3 linked regions of the Lonchura striata genome follow. The protein of the gene in region 2 interacts with the protein of the main gene of each other region in a biochemical or structural test. Links are inferred from orthologs where the notes say so. Each region holds a gene or a part of one and is shown on either strand. Other genes may lie near its edges.

Region 1 (3,743 bases), on a different chromosome or scaffold from region 2:
TTAATCAAAAATATTTACAGGCATTGTTTTTGCCATTCAGTACTACTTCAGTCAAGAAAGAGAGGAAAAGCCTCTAGTTTACTACACTGAAATAAAACCTTTCCTTACAATAAAAACACAAATAAATAAGTGCATAAACAGAAGGACTGTTCATAAACAGAAGATCATAAACTAAAGAAGATTCAAATCACACGCATTCAATGTGCATCCTGCTGAGTAACTGCCCTCTGTGTAACAGCTGACTACTTTCCTAAAATTTTCTGATACAAAAGCTGACAAAATATCAAATCAAAGATATTATGCAATTGCATAAACCTAACTCACAAGCAGGTCTCTTAACATTTCAGATTAGGAAAAGAAAACTAAGACACTTTGCATTTTCTTTTGTATATTTTGTAGTATATCAAATACTGTAATGAAACTAAGTAGTGAAAATTCCAAAACCACTGCTCTGCCTGGAATGCAATAAAATATTTGTACACTTTAGGCACCAGAAACACACATAAATCATTGAGCAGCATCTGCAGCCCATGACCCACGCATAAAACTTGAATGTTAACTTCACTTTTGGGGAGACAGCTGTAGTCAGATCTTGGCAAAGCGCCATAAAATAAATACCACAACTCTCCTTGATACACTGGGTAAGAACCGTTTAAACACTCCTTTCCCCACGCAGTAGAACAGCTACTTTGAAGACTTTACAGGAGCACAGGAACGTGTGCGAGCTCTACGCCAAGGACAAAAAACCCCAAACCTTAAATAAACGAAAAAAAAAAAACCACAGCAAACCCAAAATTAACCAAGCAAAATAAAAAAAAAATAATAATAAAAAAAAAAAAGGTAAAGGGTAGGACAGATTCAAATGCAGGAGCAGATGAAAACCGTCTTTGTGCAATGCGTAGAAGCAAAAGAAAGCTCATTTACACGGGTAGGAGACACCCTCGCACCCGCAAAGCACCACCGCTCCGCAGCCCGGTGGCGACGGGGACGGGCGGCGCGGAGGGAAGAGAAAGCGATGGGCAAGGCCGGCCGGGATCCGAGGGACAAGCCGCCCGTCTCCCAGCCTCCGCCGCATGCACCTCCCAGCCCGCGCTCCGCGGCTCGCTCCCTATTTAAAGGCTGATGTGGTGTTTAAATGGAGAGGCGGTGACGTGGGGCTGGAAAGCACCTTCCCATCCTAGCAGAGTCTATATTAGAGAGCGGCAATAGCGCTATATAAACAGGGCAGCCACAGGGAGGAGGAACACAAGGAGCAGGGAGGCAGAAAGGCAGGGGGAAGCCATGATGGATCTGAGAGCCACAAACAAGGGGGCCGAGCCCGCCGCCGGGACGCCGGGTTTGTCTCCTCCAGCGCTTCGGGGCGGGGGTCGCGGCCGGGGGCGCGCCGGGGAGCGGAGCGGCGGCCGGGGGGGCTCGGTGGCAGCGCAGGTCTGTGTGACTGCTTGTTGCAAACCTCTGTGAGTACAAGTGCAGCAGCGAGCCACCCGCCAAGGTGCAGAAAGCACGAGAAGGGAACGGGGGAGAGGTTTGGGTTTGGGGTTTTTTGCGGTTTTTTTTTTTTTTTTTCTTCGTTCTCTCTTTTTAAAATAAATACTGCCTCGCTCGCCAGAGTTGAGGGCTTTCGCTCGGCTTAGCCGATCCGGCCGGAGTGGGATAAGTGCTTTTCAACCATCGTCTCCTTCTTACAAAGCAACATAAAATGGCTCCAGCGGAGCCCAGGCGGGCTTCCCCAGCGCCGCAGAACCGAAAGCTGGCTCGGGCGCCCCTTCCCCTCGTCTCGGGGCGGGCGTTAGCGCCCGCGCTGCTCCGGCTCTCGCCCCTTCCCCGGGCGCCTCCCGCCGGCGGCGGGCGCCCCCCGCCCGGCGGCCCTTCCTTCCCTTCCCCGCCGGACCCCCGGCCTCCCCGCGGGGCCGCCCCCGGGCCGCCGCCCCGCGCCCCCGCCGCTCCGCTCCCGCCGCCTCTCTCCCCGCCGCCGGGCGCCACAAGTTGGCTGCCGCCGCGGGGGCGAGGCTGCCCGGCGCCCCCCGCCGCCCCTGCCCGCCGGGGGGCCGGGACCGCCCGAGGCGGGCGGCGGGAGGGAAGGGAGTGCGGGGGAGGGGGCGGCGGGCCCCGCCGGCCACCTCCGCCCGCGCTGCCCCCGGGGCCCCCCTCGCCCCCCGACCCGGTCCTTACCACGGGGTTTGTGTTAGTCGAGCTCGCCATGTCCCGAGCCCCCCGGGACGCCCCCAACCGCGGGGGGGGGAGTCGCCCCTAAAACAATAAACCTGCCCGGCTGCGTCCCCCCAGCGCCCGCGCGTTCCGCCCCGGCTGACGGGCGGCCCCGCGGCCTGTGCCGGGCTCGCTCGCGGCCCCGGGGCTGCAGCCGCCGCGCTGCCGCCTCGCCCCTTTATATAGCGCGAGCCGAGCGCTGCGCGAGCGGCCGGCGAGCGGGGGACGCGGGCGGGGGGGGCGCGAAGCACCGCGAGAGCTGCCGCGAGACCGCGCCGGGACCGAGGCGTCACGCGGGCGCCCCGCCCCCGCCGCCATGACACCTACCGAGGCGGAAGTGGCGGCGCGGCCGGGCCCCAGCGAGGCGGAAGCGCCTTCGCCTCTCCCCGCCCGCCTGAGCGCGGGACGGACAAACGGAACCGCTTCGTTGGGAGAAGTCCTGCGAGACCGTGGAGTCCAGCCAATGGCCGAACAGCCCCGTGTCAGCTACACTAGGGCACTAAGTGTCACGTCCTTAAACACCTCCACGGATCATGCTTCCACCGCCTCTCTGGGCAGCTTATTCCAGTGTCTAATCACTTTTATGTGAAGAAATTCACCCTGATGGCCACCCTCAACCTCCCCTGTCCTGTCCCTGGTTGCCTGGCAGAAGAGATGAATCTCCACTTGGCTACCACCTTCCTTCAGGTGGTCATAGAGAGCAAAAACATCCCCCAGAGCCTCCTTTTCTCCAGGCTCAACAACCCCAGCTCTCTCAGCTGCTCCTCATCAGACTTGTGTCCCAGACCCTTCACCAGCTTCATTCCCTTTCTCTAGACGTGGTCCAACCCCTCGATGTCCTCCCTGAAGTGAGGCTCAGAACTGAACACAGAATTCAAAGTGCAGCCCCACCAGTGCTAAGTAGAGGGAGAAGATAAATGCCCTGGTCCTGCTGGCCACACTATGGCTGATACAAGCCAAGATGCCATCAGCCTTCTTGGCCACCAGGGCACACCTGACTGTGTTCAGCTGCTGTTGACCAGGGCTGGGCTATGGTGCCTGCAGCAGGGCACAGTGCTGGGAGAAGAGCTGGCAGCCCTCACACGCTCGGGCCCTGCTGTCCAAGCTGCGGGTGACAGCTGGTGCCAGGCTCTGCAGAAATCAACACGCCTCACCTCGGTCCCCAGGAGGTTGCTCCAAGGCAATTAAAAACTGCAAGTAATTACTACTAGACAGAAATGGCTCTTCTGGGCCCACGAGGAAGGGGTTCTGAACCCTGCTCAGCATTGTGAGCACTGGTGCTTTCCCTCACAAGAAGTTGATTAAAGGCTGCCCAGGCCTATGTGCCACTGTTGTAGGAGAGTGCTACCACTGGGGCTAGTAGCTGAGGCTAGAGGTGGCCAGGAAGAGGGAGGCAGCACAACCTAAGCATTTACAGCTGTCCTTCCTCAGGGTCTCCTCAAGGCCCACAGGTGCTTACTGATCTGCAATGTTGCTGCTTTTAACAGTTCTTCGTCAAGTCAGTGGCAACAGGATCTCCCATCTGTGCAAGAGGT
Region 2 (3,743 bases):
CACAGCAGCAAGACCCGCAGGTGGCTGCACAGCAGTGTGGAACTCTGTACAGCTCCAGTGTGAGGAACCATAGCTCCTGTGAGGGCCTGGTGCACTGCCAGGGACCCCCACAGATCCACAGAATTTGGAAGGGACCACAAGGGGTCATCTGGAGCAACCTTTTTTGCTCAAGCACCTGACATACGGTTGTGTCCAGATGGTTCTTGAACATCTCCAGTGAGGGAGATTCCACAACCTCTCAGGACAATCTGCTCCAGTGCTTGGTCACCTGCACAGTGAAGAAGTTCTTCTTCATATGCAGGTGGAACTTCCTGTGCATCGGTATCTGCCCATTGCCTCTCGTCCTATTGCTTGGCACCACCAAGATGGGCCCAGATGAATCCTCTTCACACCCACCCTTTAAATATTTATTCACATTTATGAGGTCCCCTCTCAGTCGTGTCTTCTCAAGGCTGAACAGGTCCAGGTTCCTCCGCCTTTCTTCATAAGTGGATGCTCCAATCCTTTATCATCTCCGTAGTCCTCTGCTGCATCTGCTCCAGGAGCTCCATGTCTCTCCTGCCCTGAGGAGCCCAGAACAGGACACAGCACTCCAGACGCAGCCTCTCCAGGGCTGAGTAGAGGGGCAGGATCGACCTGCTGGCAATGCTCTTCCTAATGCACCCCAGGACAGCACTGGCCTTCTTGGCCACACGGCACTGCTGGCTCGGGGACAGCCTGTTTGCACCAGGAGCCCCAGGCCCTTCCCCACAGAGCTGCTTCCCCGCCGGCTGGCCCAGCCTGTGCTGGCGCCCGTGGTTACGCCTCTCCAGGTGCCTCTCCTGCCCTCGCCCTCGATAATTTCCGACGGTTCCTCCCTGCGAAGTCTTGTCCCGCCGGCGGCGGGAAGTGACGCGCCGGGCGCGCCGGTGGAGCGGGAGCGGGGGCGGGGCGCGGCCGGGCGCTGAGCGCGGCGGGAGCGGAGCGAGCCGCAGGTACCGAGTGCCCGCCCGGTACCGAGTGCCCGCCGCTCGCCCCTGCCCGCGGCCGGGCTGGTGGGGCGCGATGGTGTGGGGCAGGCCGGGCCTGGAGGGCGGGGACGATGCGCGGGCCGGGCTCGCTCCGCACCTCCGGGGCGGCCTGAGCCGCGGCCGGGGGAAGCGGAGGGGCTCCCGCGGCGCGGAGGCGGCGGCCGCCTTTCTCTCCCCGGCGCGGCTCGGGAGCGGGAGGCGGCCGAGGCGCCGGCCGCGGGATGGGCGCGGGCAGCGGCGGGGCCGGGGCCGGGGCCGGGTCGGGTGGGGAGCGAGGAGGGCTGGGGCGCGGGCAGGCTGTGGCCGCACGCCGAGCGCTGCTGCGTGGCTGGTGGCGAGCCCGAAAGGGCCCCCGGGGGTGGGTCGGGGCCTCCTCCGGGCTGTCTGCGGCTTCTGGACTCTGTTCCCTCGACCGAAACGTCGCCCGACGTTTGTAGTGGAGATCCGAGCAAGCCGCCTTTAGTGGGTAGAGGAGGGACTTCTGCGTAGACCGTGCCCTGGGTGCAGGTTTTTGTATGCCTGGTATCCAGCCTTTTTACTAAATAGCTGGGCTGTCGAGGAGTTGAGTTTGTTTCTTCCAGGATAATATTTAGGCCTCTAATGTTCCCACGTTGTAAAACCTGGGTGGTCTTCTTGATACCTTTGGTGATATCTTAAGGTCATGGGTGGAAAAAAGCAGACCTTTCTAGCTGCAGTGTAAATATTAATGTAGTTCTGAGTTCTCATATCTTAAAAAAAAGAGAGGCTGCATAGGCTGTCTTTGCATTTTGAGGTGGCCTACGTCTGGCCTGATGTATTTGATGACCTTGAGTATCTCTTAGCAATAGTTAAAAAACTTAAAAATTAATGGGATAATATTTTATATAATTGGTATAATAAAATTTAAATCATCCACTTCTGTTTATTTCCATAACAGAGCAACAGAAGTGTAGTTAGAAATGAAAGAAAACCATTGTATGTCTCACTTGCGTACTTGAAATTTGTTTTCACATATTTCTTTTTTCCTCACAAAATGTATGTCATTACAGTTTGAAATCTGTCAGTGCTTTGTTTTATGGAATTGGATGGAAGAGGTTTTCCTAGCTGTGATTTGAGCTGTGATGCTCTTCTCATAGAAGAAAAAAAGTCATTTTTGAAAGCACAAGCCTTAAAATAGCCAGGAAGAGACTACAAGCAATGTCAATTAGTAGCCAAGGGAATTAAATTCTAAAAAAATCAGTGCTTTTGCAGCTGAAGCGAAGCTTGGAGTAGAATGAGCATCAACAGCTTGAGCTGTTAGTGCAGGAAGGTTTGGTTAGATAGAGGCCTGCTCGTGTGAGTCAAGTGACCTGCCAGGGACTTCAGCAGAATCATACTGCAAAGTTTCTATGGAGTGTGCCTGAAAAAGGTTATTTTTATGGATTGTGCATGTGTGTGTGCGTGCGCGTGAATGTTCTTATATGTATTTGTACGTGGGTGTCTCTTATCTGAGTCAGCAGCTGATAGATTTGCTTTTGGGTTTGTGTTTAGATATTATTCTCAAGATATTACTTTTTTTTTCCAGGCTCAGGACAGTGTTGTAGATCCATATTTCTCTGAAGCTGATGTTTTCCTAATACTTTCAGCTTGGCTTTAAAAGCTACTTCGCTGGAATGTTTTAAACGGTTAAAAAACCTCTAGGATTTGAATTTTATTTAAATTAATTGAAGGAAATACTTCTGGCCTCACCAAAGAAATAACTGGAATCATGGATCAGAACAACAGTTTGCCACCCTACGCTCAAGGCTTAGCCTCCCCTCAGGTAAAAACGAATTATTTAAAATGTAACTGTGATCTGAATTTCCTTTATGAAAGTGCTTTCTCTTTCTTATATCTACCTTCACAATTTTTTTTTTGTTAACAGATCTGAAAAATTCTACTAGGTATCGAATAATACTAGTATAAAGCAGAATTTTGAAACCATTGATGTCTATATTCAGAAGTATAAGAAACACATGGTTTTTTATACACTGACTGTAAGAATATATGTGGGATTTCTTAATGGGGTTCCTCTTAAGTGGAAACATGACTGACAAGTTGGAAAGATTTAATTTAATTTAGGTGGTTGCTGCTTAAACTATGTACATAATGGATTATTGCTGGGCTATGAGTGCAGTGGGTACAGTGAGCACAGTTGGTGTTCAGGCAGTTTCAAGTTAAATTGTGGGTCAAAGTTGAGACACACTTGCAAGGTAGTGTGAGAAGCACATCATGTTCCCTAGATTCCTTTGGGTAGTACTTTATTCTGTAGAACAGCTGCATTTCTGAGGATTTTCTAATTTTAATGATTTACTACTATATGCTTCAGGTTTGATATGAGCAACTTGGCTAACATAGATTTATTTTTGACTCCTCCTGAAAACTTTGTCTCTTAAAAACAAAATGGAGTAATGGATCTGTGGCTTTTGTGTCTTGTTTTCTTCTGCAGGGTGCAATGACTCCAGGAATTCCAATTTTCAGCCCGATGATGCCATATGGCACAGGACTGACACCGCAGCCTGTCCAGAGCACCAACAGTCTGTCCATATTGGAGGAACAGCAGCGGCAGCAGCAGCAGCAGCAAGCAGCACAGCAATCCACGTCACAGCAAGCGACACAGGGAACATCTGGTCAAACCCCCCAGCTCTTCCATTCACAGACTCTTACCACAGCCCCTTTACCAGGAACCACACCTCTGTACTCCTCTCCAATGACTCCAATGACTCCCATAACTCC
Region 3 (3,743 bases), on a different chromosome or scaffold from region 2:
TGCTCACGCGTGTGCGAGATAAGTGTGTGGAGCTGCGCGCAGGACAATATTCATTTCCATCAGATCCTGTTGCTTATCAGTTAATAAAATGTCTATTGTATCAATTCATTTCATAATCTATATGCTCCTAATCTACCATCTTTATAGAGTCCAGTTAAAAGGAAAGGGAATTCGCTGTCCCTCCCTGTTTAGATAATTGCCCTTAAATGACTGCAAGAGGCTCTTGTGTTCCGAGGAGATTAGAGCCCTGCAGCTATCAATAAACTTTTCTCAGCGAGCGGCCAATCCCGTTATTAGAGAGCGGCTCCGTTTTACTGCACATCCGTCCTGGGCGCCGGGATAAGGGATCGTAAAACGAATTAACAGAACAAAATACCGGGACTTTAAGGGCTCAGGGGCTTGTATGTTCCTTTTTAAGTGGGCGAATATTTCGTTATCTGAAGACACGCACACATCTACGCCATAAGAAGTAGCTCAATCATGCGTCGTGTATGCGCATATACATGTATATAAACGCAGATCACCACAGTCACATCGAACACACCGCAGGGCCGGCGATCATGTAAAAACCGAATCAAACATACAAACAAAAAAACCCCAAACAAAACAAAACAAAACAAAATCCACAAGAAAAAAAAATCCCCAAAAAACTCAAAAGGGCGGCGGAGCGGGCAGGGTCTCCTTCCCTTTGAGAGGTCACACTCGGGACAGCTCGGTATCTGCTAGTTTTGCAGAAGAACGCGCTCGGGCTCGCTGCCTCGCGCTTTACGAACAGAAAGGCCGGTGTTTTTTCCGACGTTAATGCGTTTTTCCCCGAGCTTTGAGCCTTCCCCTGACCACAGCGGAGGGCTGTGCCGGCTGCCCGGCCTGCTGCTCTCCGCGCTGAGACGAGCGCTGGGCGCGGAGCGGGCCCGGGGGACGCGGAGCGGGCCCGAGCGCTCCGGGCGGCGGGGCGGGCGGGGCGGGCGGGGCGCGCGGGGCGGGCGGGGCGCGCGGGGCGGGCGGGGCGCGCGGGGCGGGCGGGGCGGGCGGGGGCCCGGCGGCCCCGGCCCCGCCCCCCGCGCGCCGCCGGGCCGCAGCCAATGGGGCGGCGCGGCCCCGCCCCCGCGCGCCGGCTGGGCGGAGCCGGCGCGCGCCGCTTTATGAGGCGGCGGCGGCGGCGCGGGGCCGGAGCGCGCCGCCGGCTGCCCGCGCCCCCCGGCCCCATGAGCGGCGGCGCCGCCCGCTCCCGCCCGGCGCTGCGGTGGCGACGGCCGGCAGCCCCTGTATGGCCCCGGCTGTGGATATGACCGCCGCGCCCACCGGGGTCCGCAGCGACGAGCTGCCCGCATCCGCCTTCAGCAGTCCCGGTGGCGGCGCGCTGCCCGTCGCGGCGGCGATGGGCGGGGAGGAGGAAAGCGACAAGCCCAAGGTTTCCCCGTCCCTCCTGCCGTTCAGCGTGGAGGCGCTCATGGCCGACCACAGGAAGCCGGGAGGCAGGGACGGGCCCGAGGGCGCCGGGCCCCCGCCGGGCGCTGGGGCGGCCAGCCTCAGTCCCCGGCTGGGCGCGCTGTCGGCGGAGGCGCCGCCGTCCCCGCTGCCCCTCGGCGGGCACTTCGCCGTCGGGGGGCTGGTCAAGCTGCCCGAGGACACGCACGTCAAGGCGGAAAGCCCCGAGAAGCAGGAGCGCAGTCCCTGGATGCAAACCCCGCGCTTCTCGCCGCCTCCCCCGAGTAAGTAATGGTCCGGGGGCTCTGCGGGCCGGCCGCGATCTCCCGTGGGGCCGGGCGGACCGAGGGCAAGGCTGCGCGGGTGGCGGGGCTTTCCTGTCGCTTTCGCCCTGCCTGCCTCTCCTGGTGTATTTTTCGTGCGGTTCGTACTCTCCTGGGCCAGTTTGATCGGTCTAAAGTACTGAACCGATTCGAGAGTTCGCGGAGGATGGCTGCGAAGGCGCAGGAAGAGCGGCCGTGCCAGGGTTGAAATTTTGTGCCAAATGTTAGCCGGGGGAGGGGGAAGAAAAAGCAACGTAGCCAGCCTGTTAATTTAACCTGGGGCTCGAACTAGGTACTTAAGATTTGACTCAACATCACTGAGGCTCTCCTCAGAAAGTGGCTCAAGTTATTCCGTAAGGATGCGCACAGACCGCGCGGCAGCTTTGCGGACTTCAGCCCCACGGGCTGGCGTCTTAAATGGTGCATGTCCAAAGTCCGAAGAGGCACAATTAGTGATGCTTTCCTGCTTTAATGCAGAGAGATCTAAATTAGTACAAATAACAGCGTGGGAGCCGAGGTCAGAGAAGGCCGTTAATTTCCAGGGGCTGCGCTGCGCCCGGATCTGGGCAGCATGGGCCGGCTGCCCTCGGCCTGGCCCCGCTCCCTTCCTGCCGGGGATCCCTTGGAAGTGGATGACCTTAGTCTGAGGCTCTCCAAGCGTTTGGGGTGTCCTTAGCAAAGCTGCAAACAAGAGCTGCCCCTCTGTCCCGAAAACGGCAGGTTTCCCGGCAGGATTTGTGTAAAGCAAAGCAGCGGTTTAATTTATTTAAATTGCAAAGTAAAATTTGCTGTTGCTAAGTAAACCCGGGACAGCTGGATGTTGAAGACCCTTAGAAATGTTAAAGAGGAGAGGAGCAGACCAGTGGAGAGTGGTAGATAGAGCATGAGTGTCAATTCAGACCTCGTAATTAATTACATGCTTAATCCGGTTCCCAGGGGCCTAATGAAGAAGGGTGTGCGACTGAGAAGCCAGTCCGTTTTTTTTTTTTTTGTTTCCTGTAATCCAATAAAAAAACAGGATTTGTTTCTTCGTTTTGGAGGGCCATTCCCTTTATTTGCGTCTCCTCTTCATAAGGCAGGAGATGCAGAGTTTTTGGGTGTCTCATTCCTGCCCATTGCTGGGTTCTTTCAATGGAGTCAGAGCTTTATAATATGAAGCACCGTTCTCTTTTTTTAGAAAGGCAGACGGCAGTTTTGAGTGTGCCCCAGGCAATCCTGGTGGTTTTGGGGTACCTTGCTTCAAGTAGGACCCTATGTCTCCCTTTCTCCACCTCAGCTGTGGTAGGGTGGGGGCTCTGCAGGCTGTGGGGTTTTGGGCACTGCTAACCAAGGTGTCTCTCCTTTCCCCTCTTCCCCGGCTGCTCCCGGGTACAGGGCGACTGAGCCCGCCCGCCTGCACCCTGCGCAAGCACAAGACAAACAGGAAGCCCCGGACGCCCTTCACCACGGCACAGCTGCTGGCCCTGGAGAGGAAGTTTCGGCAGAAGCAGTACCTGTCCATTGCCGAGCGTGCCGAGTTCTCCAGCTCGCTCAGCCTCACGGAGACCCAGGTGAAGATCTGGTTCCAGAACCGTCGCGCCAAGGCCAAGCGGCTCCAGGAGGCCGAACTGGAGAAGCTGAAGATGGCAGCCAAGCCCATGCTCCCGCCTGCTGCTTTTGGCATCTCCTTCCCACTGGGCGGCCCGGCCGTGGCTGGCGCTTCTCTGTACGGCGCCTCCAGCCCTTTTCAGCGGGCAGGGCTGCCCGTGGCTCCTGTGGGACTATACACAGCACATGTGGGATATAGCATGTACCACCTCACATAGAGCCAGAGCCGAGCCCAGCCCAGGACTGCTGACTGTCTGCTCCCTCTGGCTCCACACACACTCCCTCCCTGCTCCTCTGGCTCTCCTCTGTGGACTTCCCCATGGAGCCTATGGCAGAGGCTCCTTCCGTTTGGCTCTGCTTGACCTCTCTGCTTCCCCCTCTGATGCTGAGCCCTTATCCCAGCAC

Evidence for each region.
Region 1: the proteins of TBP (region 2) and GTF2A1 form a complex in vitro, tested with the Homo sapiens proteins (7 studies listed by BioGRID and IntAct, with this or other methods). The link is inferred for Lonchura striata from reciprocal best matches to the Homo sapiens genes TBP and GTF2A1.
Region 3: the proteins of TBP (region 2) and MSX1 form a complex in vitro, tested with the Homo sapiens proteins (2 studies listed by BioGRID). The link is inferred for Lonchura striata from reciprocal best matches to the Homo sapiens genes TBP and MSX1.

What each region holds. Positions count from the first base shown.
Region 1 is NC_134608.1:20,386,992-20,390,734, reverse strand, and holds the start of GTF2A1 (transcription initiation factor IIA subunit 1), read right to left. Parts: upstream 2,344-3,743; 5' UTR 2,203-2,343; coding exon 2,173-2,202; intron 1-2,172. UniProt on the Homo sapiens protein: TFIIA is a component of the transcription machinery of RNA polymerase II and plays an important role in transcriptional activation. TFIIA in a complex with TBP mediates transcriptional activity.
Region 2 is NC_134605.1:42,589,746-42,593,488, forward strand, and holds the start of TBP (TATA-box-binding protein), read left to right. Parts: upstream 1-878; 5' UTR 879-974; intron 975-2,553; 5' UTR 2,554-2,736; coding exon 2,737-2,790; intron 2,791-3,456; coding exon 3,457-3,743. UniProt on the Homo sapiens protein: The TFIID basal transcription factor complex plays a major role in the initiation of RNA polymerase II (Pol II)-dependent transcription.
Region 3 is NC_134606.1:12,955,751-12,959,493, reverse strand, and holds MSX1 (homeobox protein MSX-1), read left to right. Parts: upstream 1-1,267; coding exon 1,268-1,712; intron 1,713-3,125; coding exon 3,126-3,556; 3' UTR 3,557-3,632; downstream 3,633-3,743. UniProt on the Homo sapiens protein: Acts as a transcriptional repressor. Capable of transcription autoinactivation.